Kluyveromyces lactis: one gene and its partner. The protein of the gene in region 1 purifies or fractionates together with the protein of each later gene. This does not show direct contact. Links are inferred from orthologs where the notes say so. Each region holds a gene or a part of one and is shown on either strand. Other genes may lie near its edges.

Region 1 (3,953 bases):
AGTAATAAAGTTTGACCTCTGACAAGGAAACATTTAGGATCTAAACCTCCTTCCCATTGTAACCCACAACCTGAAGCATTGACCACAATATTAACATCAGGGTAAAGCTCGCAAATATCTTTTAATTTCTCAAGCTTGATTCTCTTTACTCTAATGTTAACGTTCTGTTGCTCACTCTTTTTCATTACCTGGTCGTAAAGGAACAGTAAATACAATGGAGCATTCAAACACCACGTTTCATAGCTACAACCGAAAGTGACACCTGCAGGCAAGTTGGAATCTTGCTGTTGGAATTTTTCCAAGCTGGATCCATTATACCCTGCTCCTAAGCGTTGGTATTCGATGCTCGGATTTTCTAACCAATCGATCCCGTTCATGAATTCAACAGTGGCCTCACTCAACCACTGCTTAGATTTACGTTTGAAATAGTTATAAGTCACTCTGGTATATTCACTCTCACGTTTATCCGAAGCATAATCAGAATCTCTGTGTGGGAATGGTCTAAAATGAGCACCTGCCCATGGTGATGTGAACGTATGATTGATTGGCTGATCTTGCGGGAATTGTTCGGATACAATTGTTATAGTCCTGATATCGGGTCTTGTTTCCAGTAGTCTCAGCGCACTTGACAAACCAATAACACCGGCACCAACTATACAAACTGACATGCTCCAATATTCTGCTTTCTCAATTAACTAAACCTCGGCCGTGGCTGCCTATTTCCTGTTGTTCAAATTTATGAAACTTCTATTCATATCATATGTAAATCTAGTCAGATGTTTCATTCGATCGTCTTTTATGCAAATTGGAAATCACATTCAAACAAGAAAAGACGACTCAAACCCCCACATCTTAACCCGTAATAAGCAGCCAACTACATAGTGTTTGCGCCGGGAATTAACCAAAAAAATCGGTAGATTAACTAGGAACAGCTTCAAGGCATTTTTGTCCTGTCAGTATCGTATATCACCATTACAACCGAGATCGCTGCTCTGGTAATAATTACATTCTAACACGTGACCTGTGTTGCATGCAAGGTAAATACCTATGTAGGTCTAAAAGATAGAATGGTTTAGCTTAATATATTAGCCTCAAAGCGTTTAATAGCTAACTAATAGATGGCGAGAGTATCTCGCATAGATATAGGGACTGATAACATTGATTCAACAAATCTATGTTTATTTGCACTGTTATCGGCACTCTCAACCAAAATCAAAATTAAACTCTTGTACGATTTCTTTGTACAAAACGAAGTCACATCAACATATTGACTGACAGACGGAATATTGTTTAGCAGAAAGATAAGGAGTAACGGCAGGTGTGGGGTAGTCGTAAGTAACTTCCATTAGTTAAGGGTATAAGTAACATGGATCTCAATAGGCATGCGACCCCAGGGGTACCACAGTATCCTCTACAGAATGTTCCCGTTCCATACCGGTACCAACTTCATCCTCAGCCAGCGTCTCAGAGTAAACGAAGTATACATTATCCCCTTCAACAGCTTGACGACGATTCTGACAGCGACGGTCAGTATCACAAAAAGTTAAAGCCAAATCAGCAGGCTGTTTCCAGTCCCAACTTGATCGAGGATCAAGATGGGCCGTTACCAATATCGCCGATTGCTTCCCCATGTCACACACCTGAAGTGGAGGAACCAAGTATTGACGAAGTCATAGGGACTACAGTAGCTAGACTCAGCAGTACGACATCTCATCCAAATGCTTTAACAAGTCTTATATTTGGGCTTGTTTCCAACATGGATAGAACTCAGCTTTCAGATTTGGTCAGTATAATAACCGATAACTTGAAACGAGATTTGTTCCAATCACTACCTAATGAAATCACTGTGAAGATCCTATTAAATTTATCTTCGGAAGACATCTTCGCATGTTTGTTGGTTAACAGAAATTGGAATAGGTTAATCGAGGAGGCGCCTGTTGTTTGGAAATGGCTAATGCTTAACGAAGGTTTTGTCACCGAAGATCAGTTCCCGTCGTACTGTAACAGTTTGCCCAGTAAATATAAGCATTTGATCAACCCTGACGACAGATTTAGATTAGATTTCCTGGAGAACAACTGGTGTCTCCAGAACTGGTACGATCCAAACTATAAACCAGGGAGGACTTGTCTTGATGGTCATAGTACCAATGTTGTAACATGTCTACAATTTGAAAACAATTATATTATTACCGGAGCAGACGATAAGAAGATCAACGTGTATGACGCTGAGAATGATCTGTTCCTATTAGAATTAAACGGACATGAGGGCGGTGTGTGGGCACTGAAATTTGTGGACGGTAAGATTTTAGTTAGTGGTTCCACAGATAGAAGTGTGAGAATCTGGAACATCGAAACTGGTAAATGTACCCATGTTTTCAAAGGACACACATCGACGGTTAGATGTTTAGAAGTGGTTGAATATGGTGACAGCAAATACATTGTAACGGGGTCTAGAGACAATACCTTGCATGTGTGGAAACTTCCCCCCATGAAAGAGCTAGACAAGGGATCGCAGGAACCTATTTTCTACAGGACACCAGAGGAAAACCCATATTTTGTTGGGGTATTAAGAGGCCACATGTCTTCGGTAAGGACAGTGTCTGGTCATGGTAGAATTGTCATAAGTGGTTCATATGACCACAATTTGATGGTATGGGATATCATTAGTATGAAATTACTATATATTCTAACCGGTCACACCGACCGTGTGTACTCGACCATTTATGACTACAAGAGGAACAGGTGCATATCAGCAAGTATGGATACCACAGTGATGATCTGGGATCTCGAAAACATTGAAAATAATGGGACAACTACTACAATCAATGACGGTGCATCGATCAAAGTGGTTGGAAGCATGAAATGCCTTTATGGACATACAGCTTTAGTTGGTCTACTTTGCCTATCCAATAAATTTTTGGTTAGCGCTGCTGCAGACGGTTCGATACGCGGCTGGGATCCAAATGATTATTCAAGAAAGTTTTCGTTCCATCATACAAACCTGGCTGCTATCACTTCATTCTCCATGAACGATAACATTTTGGTTAGTGGATCGGAACGACAATTCAATGTATATAATTTAAGGACCGGTAAGCTGATACACAGGAAGCTACTCACAGATTCGGAACAAGTGTGGGGTATCAAATTAAATAACAGAAAATTAGTCGCTGCGATCGAGTCAGTGGGACACAGTTACGTAGAAATCTTGGATTTTGCTGCTCGGAATGGTGACAAGACTATCAGAACCCGGACTAGAACAAGAGTCGACCATCAAATATATCGAACGTCACTTTGGTCTTCCACTCTTTAACATTAACTATCAATTTAACTTGCATTACCACATCTGGTATCTCGCCGTATGGAAATATTCTACCATCAAATAAACTCTGTAATACCAATCCTCTGTATCTTTGTTCTCTTCTCTTCTCTTCAATGCCAGCAGACATAAAAAAGTTGTATGATTAATTTATCTACGGCATCACCTATCCCTAAGACATATATAGGAGTTTCAATACTATTTCTACGTGTTACAAACTTTTCAGCCACCCCAGTACTGGTGGATACAGTCGACTACTATACCAGACATATACAGTTCTCAACATTTACCTATCTATGTCTTCTTATCAAGATAGGGTCATCCCTAGGTGTGGAAAATTATGCCAAGGAATTAATCGGGTGTGTTTTGCGATGAGGAAAAAAGTAAGTTGCACATTGAAAAAAATGTCAAATTTACACAATATAAGTACCTCTTTCGATTTTGTCCACCTATTCTTGCAACATTCCAGTGCCTACTCAAGCATAGCGTCTTGGATTGGACTGAATCTTTACCCACTTAAGCACTCCCAAAATACCCCTCCAACACACTGAAATGTCATTGCAGCAAGAAGGATCATCATCGGCGTCATCATCCTCATCGAGAATTAGCCAGAGGAACAAACAAGTTGGGTCTCAGT
Region 2 (3,436 bases), on another chromosome or scaffold:
AAGCAACCGATGGCATCTGACCGAAAGAATGTGTTTTTTTTCTTTTCACTGTGTGCTTCCTCCATAATTGCTATTTGCTTGTGGCCCTTGCTTGGGCAATTGGCAAACCACGCGTATACCCTATTCTAATCTTCTTCATTTTCTGATCCGCTGGTGAAGGCTCAGTTCCTTTTTTTTTTTTCTCGATCACTCTCTTGGGAACTGGTGTGCATTTTCTTTTTAGTGGTGGTATTTTAATACTACGACTGCTTCTTGCATTGGTATATACTTTTTTATTATCGGGCCTATGTGCTTGTATGTCATGGTGCTGCCCTGTTACATATTTTCTTCTTCTTGTTCTTCTTCTTCATCTTCCACTGCCGTTTTTACTCACTCCCATACAGTGCGCAGTAATAGGGAGACTTACGGACAGATAGAGAAGATAGACGGTCAGCAGCCAGCCAGCCAATAATAGCCCACACATACATTTTTTTCCTCTCTCTATTCCTCTTTCGATTTGGTTGATACATTTTGTTAAAATATATTCATTTATATATTGGATCAAAGAAAGTTGGCCTTCCACTTCACTCTACTTTGTTGTTAGAAACTTCACTACTGTTTCTCATATTAGATACTGTTGATATACTACAGTGTCCAAGAACAATACTTTAGTGGGAGCCTAATCATAGCTTCAGGTAATTGCTACTCCCATCCTCTCCTTTTTTTTATTTTGGTATTACTGCTGTTCTTTACACTTTTTTTTTCCTTCAGTTTTTTGGGGCTTTGTCTTAAGTGTTTGAGTAATAGGTTTCTTAAGATTGTTATAGGAAGTCCTCATTGCCAATTGCACCGCTTCAAACTACATCCCATTTCACGTTCTTTCTTCAATACCATTCGAAATAGAGAAGACTGTTATCAAGAGGTACTTTTTCTTTCACTACACTTATTTCTGTCTAATTACTCTAGTTCAGTGATTATAATTTAATAAGCTTTTTCACTACTGCATTCCCATCCCACTCACTACTTTTGCTGGTACAGAAGATCCTCGATAAAACTTTTGAAGAATAAACAGTTATTAACTTTTCATTCGCTTCAAATTTTTCTTTCATCCATACAACACACTTGCTTTCTTTCATCCACCATCATATCATATTCGCATATCCTGGCCGCTGCAGAGGTTATTTCTTTGACTGTATCATTGTTAAGAATCTGATCTCCGTTATAAAACCTGATACTCAATCCTAACATCCGGTCTGCTCATATCAAGTTGTTTCTTGCTTTCACTTTTTCTATCGCTAAACAGAGGAAGACTTTCATAACAACTACCCCGCAAAGATTATAGAAAAGAATCACTCTTTTGCTTGTTAATTGAATCCTCATAGTCGATCTACAATCGTCTCAGGGTAGAATAACAAAAAGTAGAACGTCGCACTACATTACACTTTAACGGCTAAACGTTTTGTTACGTTTGAGTCATTCAGCTGGTCTGTCCCAATTTTTTATTCGTTTTCTCTTATCTTCCCTCAATTCTCAATACATTGTGGCTTTAGTTGTGAAATAGAATTATCTGCCCTTCTACAATACTCCTTTGATATTCTCTTTGTTCAAAATAAAGTTCACTTAAACAAATACAATCTATTTTTATTTATACATGATGTCAAATCTGACCATGGTAGATTCAAACTATATGAATTGCATAAGAAGGTCGATTTGGAATGAGAAAGCTTCTAATCCAAATTTGATTGAGATGGAATTGAAATCTCACAAAGCTACGATTAATGAAAATGCATCCACAATCTTCTCTAGATTGGTTGAAAATGAATCCAGCACAACAGTTTCTATGAAATGTTTTAAGTCCCAACCTGAAATCAATTTTCAAATGAGATCCTTGATTTTTGATTTCATCATGTGCTGTCACATCAGATTGAAACTTTCAACACCAACTCTTTTCCTATGTTTTAATATTATCGATAGATATTGTTCTAAAATCATCGTCAAGTCTTCTACTTACCAACTTTTAGGTTTATGTTCTCTATGGTTGGCATCTAAATACACGGACAAAAAGCAAAAAATTCCTTCATTACCTACTTTACAAAGCTTATGTTGCAACCAATATACCAAAGAGCAATTCAAGGAAATGGAACTTCACATTTGTCAGAGTCTCAACTGGACAATGTGTCACGGACCCAGTTTGGATTCTTTCTTGGATATCTTGGTAAGGGGAAATACGTTCCAAAACAACGAAACAGATTGTTCTGCCATGAAACTTGGAGCGTTGATACTATGCCAGCTTTGTTGCTTCAACCCAACCCTCTCATTCACTAACTCTTCTAGCTCCATTGCTCTGGCGTGCTTATCTATCACGAAATATGCACTATTGTCCTCCAAGTTTAATACCTTTGTTAACTTCGAAACAATGATGTCCAATGACAAACCAGACCCGAAACTAATCAATCTAATGAAGTCCATATTGGAAGTAATCAACGTTGCTGATATTCCATCTAGTTTCAAGCTTAGGTATTATGTCAACGATGTTCAGCATCCAATTTTGAAGTGTCTATTCTCCTATAAGACATATTGGAAAGATCACTTGTCAAGAATTGAATATTCTACATTGATGTCCCCATTGGTACCGGATTACAATCATAAAGATCGTCTGTCCCCAAAATCACTCCAAATGGATTCAATGAGATGGATGCAAATCCCCCCTACTCCTACGACTACTCCCTCCACACCGACATTGGCCAAATCCTCCAGGCCGTCATTACCAACATCATCGTCACATCACCCGAGCGGATCGTTCAGAAGACATTTCAAGAGAGATTCATCAACCATGGATATCGATTTCTTCGAACAAGAGCCCATCCAGCATGTCAAAAGAGGGAAAGTTGGAGAATGTTAACACGAAGACTGTTAATCTCGATAAACCCATTCATATCACTTACATAGAGAAGAATAGTGTTAAACACTTTTTTAGCATACAAAATTGATATTTGATCTATTTTTAACCTTACTATCTAACGAACTCAAATTTGCTTCCATTGACCTAAGAGCTCAACTTCTGATCACAGAAAGTTAATCGCATAGATCACTTCGACCTGGTATCATGTGTCATGGCAAGACGACATAAAAGCAACAAATTTTCTCACCTGGTGTGTCAATTGAAAAGAGCAATATTAAGATACAAATCCAAGAGGTTTTTTGAGTCGTTAGCCATCCCTATCAAATAGCAAGAAATACTGTGTAGTATGAGTAGTAGTACTACCACTACACTACTATCGTTGTTGTGTTAATGAATAGGCTATCAATGATATTTCACGAGACTTCTTTTTTCTCGCTTGCGCTTATCTGCCGATAAATATAAATCATGAAAGTCAATTTCTCTCCACTGGCAACAACATCCTTGTAAATAACAAGAAAATATGATGAAACAGATAGAAAAGTCTCTCACAACATT

The links.
Region 2: the proteins of CDC4 (region 1) and CLN3 purify together in Saccharomyces cerevisiae (affinity purification with western blotting; 3 studies listed by BioGRID, with this or other methods). This does not show direct contact. The link is inferred for Kluyveromyces lactis from reciprocal best matches to the Saccharomyces cerevisiae genes CDC4 and CLN3.

The regions. Positions count from the first base shown.
Region 1 is NC_006040.1:647,341-651,293, reverse strand, and holds CDC4 (SCF ubiquitin ligase complex subunit CDC4), read left to right. Parts: upstream 1-1,366; coding exon 1,367-3,310; downstream 3,311-3,953. Other genes in the region: KLLA0_D07568g (FAD-dependent oxidoreductase), read right to left, coding at 1-668; KLLA0_D07524g (uncharacterized protein), read left to right, coding at 3,869-3,953. UniProt on the Saccharomyces cerevisiae protein: Substrate recognition component of a SCF (SKP1-CUL1-F-box protein) E3 ubiquitin-protein ligase complex which mediates the ubiquitination and subsequent proteasomal degradation of target proteins. Recognizes and binds to phosphorylated target proteins.
Region 2 is NC_006039.1:1,108,788-1,112,223, reverse strand, and holds CLN3 (cyclin CLN3), read left to right. Parts: upstream 1-1,630; coding exon 1,631-2,881; downstream 2,882-3,436. UniProt on the Saccharomyces cerevisiae protein: Essential for the control of the cell cycle at the G1/S (start) transition. CLN3 may be an upstream activator of the G1 cyclins which directly catalyze start.